2 linked regions of the Callithrix jacchus genome follow. The protein of the gene in region 1 purifies or fractionates together with the protein of each later gene. This does not show direct contact. Links are inferred from orthologs where the notes say so. Each region holds a gene or a part of one and is shown on either strand. Other genes may lie near its edges.

Region 1 (5,618 bases):
CACTGTGTCTGTCTGAGGGGCTGCAACCACATCACATTGTCACATCTAATCAAAGCAGCAGCAGTCTTCCAATGTCATCTAATAGCCAGTCACATCAAAGAGTCTCCAGGTGTCCCCAAAATGCCTGTTACACATGTTTGTTCAAGCCAAATCCAACTGAGGGCCACAAGTGATGTTTGGCTATTCAGTCTCTTAAGTCCCATTTGATAGAGAATAACCCACTTCCCTTTTTAAAATTGTCTTTCATGTTATTGCCTTGTTGAAGAGACAAAGTCAGATGGCTTACACAGAGTACCAAGGCCACCGGAGGCACACAGGAGTGTGACAGACCTGCCCTAGATGGCCATGGACTGAAGCCTGTGAGGACAGGCTTCAGTCCATTCAGTCTTGGATGCCCATGGACTGAAGCCTGGATGGCGTGGGGAGTGGATGAAGCCAGCTTCTCTCACCCCAGCCCTCTGCACAGTGGATCTCCCTCACTGAAGATCAACTTCCCCAGCAGGGCTTTCCCAACTCCTCCAGGAGACCATTTTCATGGTGCCAAGAATGATCAGACAGACAGAGCGCACAAGCCGATAGCAAGGGAACACAGGGGAGGGACATATCAAAGTCCCAAGCCTGGGGCACAAGGAAATGTTTTCTGGCCATTCTGAGCACCCTCCACATACACAAACACAATAAACATGTCAATGCAGCTGCCATCCCTGCTTCCCGACGACTCTCGGGAGTTTCCCAGCCTGCAGACTCTCTCACTTCCATCCGTCCCTCCCCAACAGCCAAGAAGCAGACTCAGCAAGTACAGTTGGCCCTGCTTTACAGATTCGCCAGCAGCTCTTCGAGGTGAAGTGATGCAGCCACAGTCACCCTAAGTGTCAAAGCCAGATCCTTAGATGCAAGCCCTGGACTGATGCTTAAAGCACGCGACCATGTCTCCCTTGAGCGAGTGTCCCTGTTGCTGGTGGTACAGACAGTTTGTTTGCCTCCTGCTAGCTGCATAGACGTCACCACCCTCTTATCCTAACCACGTCCCACACCAGCACCAGATATCGTGTCATTTCATCCTGACAGCACCTCCGAGTGGACACTGTTATTCCCACTTTTGCAGATAAGGAAATGGACTCTCCACTGTTAGGTCTAACCCAGGGTTAGAGTGAGTATGTCCAGGGACATGCTCCAGGTCTGCTGAGCACGAAGCCCCGGCAGCTTTCAACACACATTCATCTAGTGCTCTGTTTTTTATCTCTTTCCCTAACACACTCCTTTCTGCCAAGCTAGCCTCCCAGCTACAAATGGCATACAAACAGCTCCTCCCTCTTTCACAGAAGCTATTTCTGGAAATTCACAGCATAAAAACACCTTCACAGTGTGTTTTCCAATATATACAATATTAAGAAAGGAAATCAGATTTCTTATTAAGGGCTTGGCAACAAACCAATCATAAGAAAATGAATTCTTGGAGCCTGAAAAACATTTCGAGATCATCTAAATCAGTGGTTCTTGACAGGGGGCAATGGAGCCCTCAGGGGACATTTGAAAATGTCTGGCAACATTTTTGATTGTCACAACTGGGGGCCGGTGGGGGGTTGTTGCTACTAGCATCTAGTTGGTGGAGGCCAGGGATTCTGCTAAACATTTCACAAGCACAGAACAGCCTTACCACAAGGAGTTATTTGGCCCCAAATGCCAGTAGTGCCCAAGGTTGAGACACCCTGACCTAAACCCCTTTGTTACTTTGAGGACAAGATAGTCGAGGCCCAAAGACACAATGACTTGTCCAAGGTTGCACAGCCACAAAGCAAGAAGTGGAATCTAGGTCTCTATTAGATCCTCCTCTATCATCTGCTTTGCTCTGTCTAGGGTTGGGCTGGGGGAGAAAAAGAGGGTAGGGACCCGAGGATCTTAATTGCTGTAACCAAACTGAACCAAAGGAAGAAAATTGCAACAAACAAGTTACTAAATTACTGCAGCAACACATCTGGGTGTCCCAAATTCTGAAAGAAATGCCTCCTTTAATTATTGATGAAAATAGCATTGCTTTACAGGCCCCCCCCCCCCAGCATTGCTGGTGGGTCAAATTATTCATAATGTGAGTTCCAGTACAGTTTACTGACACCAAAGCTTCCAGAAGGGTCAGGTTTTAGAGGGGAAAAAAAAGGCCACATTCTCCCCCTAAGGGTGCCCACACAAGTCCTGGCTACAGTTTCTTCCTGACCCAGAGAAAGGAATGTAAATGCTGTAGAAAGAGTCCATTAAAATCCCCCACCCACTGTCATGCTAGAATTGAAGTCACCTGACTCCCCCCCCACACCGCCATCTGCCGCTGAGTCATCAAGCCCCTCCATTCAGCATGCGAATGATCAGCGAGGGAATTAAAAAGAACTGTGGGAATTTTCAGGTTTTGCTCTTGTCTCCACCCCCACCCTCTGCTAAAAATCATTTGGTTCTTAGAGATGTAGCTGTCTCTTACACTCACATGTTACCTTTGGAGGCTGCAATTTATTTTTATTTTATTGGATACTGTTATTTTTTAATCTACTTAAAACACCTGGAAGGAGAAAAGATACATTTCCGACGTATGCCTTGTAAATGCTGGAACTTTGCAAAATAATGCAAAGCAATTTAGATTGCACATCTGGCTCTTAAATTGCTAACCAAGAAGTTTCCACTTCGCAGTCCGCTTTTGCTTTGAAAGAAATGAGGCTAATTACTGAGGACAAAGGCCTGTAATTAGTAACCATGTCATTATTTAAGAAGCAGAATGACAGCAGGAAAACAATTGATAGGTACCTCTTAAAAGCCCCTCTCTCTACGTAGAATGCATGCAGTGTGGTCATTTCAGATTTTGTTCCCCCTCCGGAGCGTTTTTTTTTTTCTTCCCCATGTCTTTCTGTCTGGCCCCTGCCCCCTTTCTTGGGGCGGGCACGCCAAGACCCAAGTAATGCGTGGGCCTGCCACGGGCCATCCCCTGCCGGGTGCGTGCAGCTGCACCAGGCAGCTGTAGGCAGCAGGCGCGGCAGCAGCCAGAGGCCCCACTTTGGGTTTTGGGGGGCGCAGCCGGGCTGCAGACCCGCGGGCCGGGCTTCCCCTGCAGCGTCCGCGGCGCCGGGGACGCCAGGGAGGTCGTCCCGGCGCCACGCGCCCCTTACCTGCAGTGCCGCATCGCGCCCAAGGCCGCCCACCTGGACAGCATCCTCGAGCATCCTTTCTTCAGCGCGACGGCTGCGAGCGCCGTGACGTCACCGGGAGGCGGGCCCCACGTTGCCACGTGACCCCTTCGGGTGACGCGGAGAAGTCCGCGCGGGGTTGGGGGGAAGACCCTGGAAGTCCCCGGAGGTGAGGGGCGATGGCCCGAAACCCTCGCGCTGGCCGCCCCTCAGGGAGTTTCGCTTGATGTGTGCAGTTTTCCTGACGTTTCACGAAGAATTATGAAAAACAACACACAGGAGAGGAAATCCAAATTATTACAGGCTCCAAGCGTGTAATAGGATTTCAAAAGAATTAGCAATAAGGGGATTACAGTGAAAGGAAATACAATTTCATGTTTTGTTTTAAAATTAGTATTTATCAAATGCAGTGGAGGAATAAACATTTTATGCAAATCAAAATGACACAAAATACCATGCATGGACACACTTTGCATAGAGGTTCCATGTTTCAAATTGTATATCATCTATTATACCAAATACTTTAGTTCAAAGCAATTCATTATGGAACGTTATACTAATTGTACAGATGAATGATGCTTTAATTACTCTGAATAGCTGCATTCCAATATTAATTTGTATTTGCCAAAGGAAAAAATGGTGATACTGCGTTTTTCTACTACTTACTTAAATATGTGTTGATTTAAAACAAAGCACTATCACGTGAGCATGGTTGTATTTGTGTGTTTCCTTACATCTTCTGGCAGGGCATTTAATCTCTCAGACATGAGTTAATTCACAATAACTCATTATTTCATATTTTCTAATTTTTATCACATTCTGAAGAAATGAGTCATTTTACTATCACAGAAAATATGTACAATGTCAACATTTCTCATTCACAACTGTAACAGCCTTGCCTAGAAAACCTTTAGGAAATTACAACTGTGATAATTTCATAAATTTGAAATAGCATATTTCAAACTTAAGCAGTGCACGTATAAACTTTTCTTTTGCTAAAACACACAAGCGTTTTTGAAATGTAAAAGGACAAAAGCCAAGACTGCTTTTATATGCATTCCAATTGTAGACAAATAGATTCATTTACTTTCACTTGAGTTAAAAATCACAATTTTAACATTCCCTTTGTTCACAGCCCTGAAAGAGACATGAAACCGATTGTTTTACAAGCAGGTTAAAGTTTACTTGCTATTTATTCCAGCAGCTTTCCTGTCCTTCTATATTTAACCCTGGCCTTTAGGCCATCATTCCCTCCAAATTAACTAAATTTCTGTTCAGAAGGTTAATCTCTAATTTGGGGGAAAATACAGCCCTTGACTCTCACGGCGATCAATTATTTTCAACACTAGGTTTTAAAAATCAACAAAGTCGCAGTGTAGTTTACTAGGTCACTCCTCTCAAATTTGTTTTTCTGAGTGATATAAGCAGCTTACCTTCCGCTTTCAGATTCTGAGATATAAAGTTAAAACGCTACCGAAATCTGCTCCTTGGGGTTGAGGGTCTGATGAAGGCAGAAAGTGACAAGCTCATTTTCCTGCCAGAGGCAAATGTCGATTTCAGCCTCAGGCGCCCAGAGGGCCTCGGAGGCAGGCTCGGAGCATCACGTGCTCGGCCCAGCCACTCAGCCCTGCCCAGTCAGCTTGGTCACCTCTTGGCGCCGGAGGCCCGCCGTGCCAGTGTCCTTCGCCTCCTACCCCTGGGACATTCGTGTCCAGAGAAAACCCAGCGTCCCGGAGACAGGACGCCCCACCCTCAGAGGCTGGGCTGCACGGAATTCTGTGACCCGAGTTCGCAGAATCAATGGGAGGTGGTGAGTGTATCAAATGCCCTGCAGACTGAAGAGGATGGTAGCACGATGCAGACAGCCTTGCTCTGTGTTCCGGCTTGGCTGAAATGACGAAATACAGGCAACCTTCTTCATCCTGGAGTAGTTTCTTTGCAATAGGTTAGTTTCACCTTCTCTTTTTTCCAGGTGATTGCTCAATTGTAAAAAAAAAAAAAAAAAAAAAAAGCAAAAAACTGGGCCTTCCAATTCTCAACAGAATGAGAGCTCTCTGAACACCCTCCAAGCTCGCCTTTCAAACTGTCAATTTAGCAAAGATTAAAAAACAAAACAACAAAAAAAAACAAAAACCAATACCACCCGTGGGAATGTAAATTGAGCAATTTTCTGGTGGTCTGTTCAGCATTTTTCCCACCAAATGCCTTAGAAAGACAGTTTCACCAATTACTCAGGGTGCTACAGCTCTAGCAACTTGATGCCCAAGAATCTGCCCTGGGGCGGGTGGGGTGGGGGAAGAAGAGTATGCAAACCTCTGACTAGGGAAAGTTTGCTGCAATATTATTTAGAACCTCAAAGCACTGGAAGCAAGTTAAATCTCCAAAAACAGGAGATGTTTTAAATTATAAGACATCTATGCAGTGGAAGAATCAAAACTTATATGGTGGTACATA
Region 2 (5,045 bases), on another chromosome or scaffold:
GGCCCAGAACTCTACCCACTGCCCCAGGAGGGTGAGCACTTTGAAGACCTCTTCAGAGCTTGGGCCCAGGCTGTGAGCAGCGACATCCCCAGCCTCAGAGAAACCATGTGTCTCTTCAAAGAGGGCTCAACCTGCACATCTAAAACAGCTCTGTTTGCCGTTTCTGCCCCAGCAAACATGCTTGCTTCCTCCTTTCAAAGGGCGTCTGAGCCCAGGGATTAGGCCTAATGCTGCTGGAATTCCAGGGGAGGCAGCGCCCAGCAATCAGGGCCCACTGAGGCTCTGCCAACGCTTTCAAAGGGAACATGACAGGCTTTCATCTCCCTCCATGAACGGGGCTGCGGCTGAGCGGGGGAGGCCTCCCCTTCCTCTTCCAGTTCTCTACCCCCAGGGCAGGAGAGCTCCTGGCCAGAGGAATTGGGGAGAGGGAGCCAAGGTACCCCTCGCCCTGAGAAAATGCCCTGCCGATCTCACCTCTAACTAGGTCCCAGACTCCTGGGGAATAGGGCCTGAAAGCCCCTGGAGCCTAGAGAGAATTTTCCTTCTAAAGTCACCGAGTTGTACAGGCCTAGGCGAGCTTTCAAGGTACCCCAGGAGGCCACGTCCAGACTTTGTTCCTCTTGGGGTGAAACCCAGAGACACGGCCACAGCCTAGGTGCTGCTGCTCAGCTGAGTGCCTGCCCCCCACTCCCACATTTCCCCACATCCCTTTCCTCTGTGTGCTGAGAGGGGCAGTAGACCATCCTTCGCCGTCCAGAACTAGGGCCACAGGTCTATGTAAAGACAAGCTCCGTGAGTTCTGTCCATCCGAAGTAGTACCCCATTCATCCTCCCTGCAGTTTACTGGTCACTCTCCCATCCATCCTGAGCTGGCACTGAAAATCCCCCTCTACCATCAAGCCTTCCTTCCCAGACTAACACAGAGGGAAGGGTAACTTCCCGACCGCTTGTCTAATAAAGAGGGACCTCCCAAGGCACCTGACTTCCTCAGCTGACCACCCATCTTAGGAAGCCAGATCTTACTGCCAGCCTTTCCGTCTCCTGCTGGCTCACCTGTTTTTGGGGCTTAAACGCCTGAGGGCAGACATGACAGGCTTTCATCTCCCTCCATGACAGGGGCTGCAGCTGAGTGGGAGGCCTCTCCTTCCTCTACCGGTTCTCTACCCCCAGGGCAGGAGAGCTCCTGGCCACAGGAATTGGGGAGAGGGAGCCAAGGGGTCTGTGTAAACCTCAACACTGTGCCACCTACAGGTCTTCTGAATATACTGAGAAAAGCAGAGTTGCTGAACCATAGACACCTGTGACCTGGAGACCACACAGAATCACAGGAGGTGAGGGGATGGAGAGGTGATGCCAAAGAACGGGACTGGGGGCACTTCCTTACCCAGTCAAGGGCACCCGATGAGATCTACCTGCCCCAGGCCACAACCTGCCAGAGTTGGCTGCACCCTAGGTCAGAGTATCAAAGAATAAACACAACTTTTTATGAATTTTCAGAACCTCAGGTGAGAGGTGAGGGGGTGTCATACTATCCATCCCAGGGCTGCAATTTCCCCTCCAGCCGGGAGCATGGCTCTCCAGCTTCTATGTACTGTGCACTGTCACAACCTACTGTCCTTCCAGCACCTGCTATAGGTTCCCAAATCTAACCCCTTCTTCCAAGGCCCCTCATACAACCAGGCTGCAAATGAGGAGCACCCCAGGTCTTCTGGGGGTAAGAGAGACCTGGCTTCAGACCCAGGGATAGCAAGCTGCCCTCCCCGAGCTGCCCTCCCTCCAACTCCCTAGCTAGGACAGCAGGAGACACAAGGCCATGCCCCAGAGCCATGCATTCCACGGAAATCACTGGGCTGCATCTCTCAATTACTACCCCAGCCGGGACTGCAATTACCACATTACCCCTAATCACTGAGTGTTTATTAGCGATGCTTCTCCCCTATCAGAGCTGCCATTACTCTACATTAATAACCAGGTAGGCACACGAGGTTTCCTCTTGAACACAGACCACCCAACTGCCAGTGCCACCACCTCCCAGGCCCCAGCTCCAACGGGGCAAGGCTCATCTCCTCTGCTCCACCTTTGGCCAAACTCATGTCAGCAGGAGGTTAGAGGAAAACTGGGAGAAGTCCAGGCATGTATAAAGGGGGGCAACACAGCCTGCGGGAGCAGCCAGGCTCCCTCCCCGACCTGCCCTTGTCTTCACTGTTCATGCTGGCCCAGACCCACATCACCCACGTAGCCTCACACGTAGACTTGAGCCCCTGGGTCCTCTTTTTGGTGAGGAACTGGCTCATGGTCTTGCAAGGGAGCCCAGCCCACCTACCTCACAGTTAGACCACGCTGTCTGCAGGGAGACCCCTAGCTTCCAGCTTATACCGTGTTAGTGTTAAATCTCTCTGCCCTGGGGGAGGCTAGGCTGTCTCCTACAAACTTCTGAAGGCAGCTATCCTGCATCGTCTTCCGTTGTTTCTAACTTCAAGCTGAACAACTTTCAGTTTCTTCAGCTAATTCTCCCAGGACTAGCTGAGGCACTTCCCCACTCGATATTCCTTATGCATATGCATGAGTTCACTCAGGGCACTGCTCCATCAGTCAATAAACAGGAATATCCTCCAGCAGCAAGGCCCTGGGGACTGAGCTCAGAGTGGAAGCAGCAGGCAACCCCACCTGCTTCGGCTGCATGCCTCTGAGCAGCCTGCTCTGCTGTCTCGTGCACCCAGCTAGCGGGTAGGTGAGTGTGTAAAGGGGGAGCCCGAGGCACCTGGGAATGTGCAGTCCTTACTCCGGCAAGGAGACTCCCCTAGACCACCTGGGGAGTGTGGGCCTTATCATGACTCTGCTCAGCACGGATATGCACGTCTCACTTCCATGAAGAGCCCTTCACCTGAGCCTTCCTGTCCCCCTGGGTTTCCTCTCCATGGCATCCTTTTTAGGATGAGGATGAATGGGAAGATGGTGAGAGCGCCTGTTAACTGTGCTGGGCCTGGTCCAGGCCCCACCAGCTCCCCACCATTGTGTGAACTCCTGCAGGTCTTGCAGTCTGTCTGGCATTAGTGGTTCCTTACGTACCTTATCAGATAAAGCCAAACCCCCTTAGCTTGACATTTGGGATCTTTAATAATGTGGCCTAAGGCTATTGGCCAGCTCTCTTTGCCACTATTCCCCCACACCCCTACCCTATCCTTACAATGCTCAATATTCCTCATACATACTCATCAGGCAATGTCCCCCGCCTGGCACCGCTGTCTGCCTCATTCCTCTTCCACTCTTGAAATCCTACATTTCCCCCCAGACCCTGGAGCAAGTGTTCAACAGATATTTGTGGAATCACTGAACCAACGAATTAACCTGCCGCATTCCAGTCCACTAGCAGCTTGTCACCAGTGTCCGAGCACGTGGGGGATAGTACGTGTATCTATGAGTGACTGGCCCTGGTTGGTCACATCCCCTCTGCCTGGCAAGACAGTATAGCAGGACAACACAGCTCCCCCGGATTGTGTACTGAGGCTGCCTGATGCCAGGTGTCCTGCTTCATCTGGAAGGGCAAAGGGTGTGTCCCTGCTGAGTCTGAGTGACGTGTAGGACACTAACTGGGAAAAGAGCAACTTGAAGCATGTGGCGGGGGTGGAACCTAGATCTAGGAGACGCTCCTCTGGGTTCCGTCCTGGGGACGCACACGCAGGGAGCCCAGGGCTGGGCACTCAAAGCCCTCTTACCTCATTCTCCTCCTCATTGTGGAGCTGCTCGGTGTATGCATCTGGCTTTCGGATCAGAGGGTCCACCAGCATCAGGAAGGCCATGTAGAGCAAAAGGGCACCCACCACCGACAGGTAGATGACAATGATGACCTGAGAAAGACACCAGCGTGCCTGTGAACTGGCATCTGGGGCCAGGGCCAGAAATCCATTTCTAGTCTTGGGCCATCTGTGTATGGCTGGCAGTGACTCCTCAAGTGCTGCACTGAGAAAGGGCTTGGAGGCAACGTGGGCCTAGAAGGAAAGCATGCCCCAAAGGGAAAGGAGGGCCCTACTCCACAGAGGAAGCACTCTGTCCTAACTTGAGGGAGTCTACACAGTAGGCATCAAGACAGAAGGCAGATGACAGAGGAAGAAGTCTGGAGCCTGACGTCCTGAGAGGCTCCCAGGATAGAGGTGGGACCACAGGGCCTCCCTGGCTGTAGAAGAGTCCATGATGAAGGGTGGAAAGCAATCAGAAACTAAGAGCAAGGAAGAACTGGCTGTGGAGAGGCTGGAAAGCTGCGTCCAGGAAGAGTAAACCTGGGCTGGGGAGCTCATTGCCTCTGTGGAGTACAGGACAGATGGGGCACACTGACCCATTCATGGCACGCCCCTGTGCAGAGTGGCATGGGCTGGTAAGAAGGCGTACACTGGGGGAGGAAGTCACACCTGCCCTGTGATCAGCCCCCGCAGGGAGGGGAAAGCCAGCAGCAGAACAACTCCACGAATCTCTTACACACAGTGCTTCACAAGCTGGGGTCATTTTGTTTTTACAGAAAAGACAGATTTAATGGGGCAAATTCAGTGTTTCTCAGTGTGGGTGCTCTGGGATTTTGGGTGGGATATTTAGCATCCATGGTCCCTGTAACGGTATTGGTAATACACCTCAGTTATTGGGACCACAAAAGCACCTTCACCCACCTCTACATACCCACTGGGGGGCTGTAATCATCTGAGTGAGAACTGCTGGGCTAGATCACCTGGGATCCCAAGGCTACCAGATGGAGGAGGTGTGACTCAAACCCAGACTTGCTGACTCCCTCTCAAATGCTTTTCCTAATTCTGCAACACCTGGCCATTGCCGACTTCTGATCTCAGCCCTGCCTTACCTAGACTGTGAAGAAGGGTGAAAAAAAGGAGAACCTCAGGACTTTCAAGTAGGATGCCCAGCTCAGCCAATAGCCAAGTTCCACTGGACCAATGTCCACCCTGATTGGGACATCCTGTTCATGCCTGTTTAAACAGGACAAATAATCAGACCTCTCACACATACCCCAGGAAAGTGGAAGGAGAACAGGGGCTGGGTCT

Evidence for each region.
Region 2: the proteins of CLCN4 (region 1) and TMEM9 purify together in Homo sapiens (co-immunoprecipitation; 3 studies listed by BioGRID and IntAct, with this or other methods). This does not show direct contact. The link is inferred for Callithrix jacchus from reciprocal best matches to the Homo sapiens genes CLCN4 and TMEM9.

What each region holds. Positions count from the first base shown.
Region 1 is NC_133524.1:10,361,953-10,367,570, reverse strand, and holds the start of CLCN4 (H(+)/Cl(-) exchange transporter 4), read right to left. Parts: upstream 3,233-5,618; 5' UTR 2,788-3,232; intron 1-2,787. UniProt on the Homo sapiens protein: Strongly outwardly rectifying, electrogenic H(+)/Cl(-)exchanger which mediates the exchange of chloride ions against protons.
Region 2 is NC_133520.1:28,165,944-28,170,988, forward strand, and holds part of TMEM9 (proton-transporting V-type ATPase complex assembly regulator TMEM9), read right to left. Parts: intron 3,849-5,045; coding exon 3,717-3,848; intron 1-3,716. UniProt on the Homo sapiens protein: Transmembrane protein that binds to and facilitates the assembly of lysosomal proton-transporting V-type ATPase (v-ATPase), resulting in enhanced lysosomal acidification and trafficking.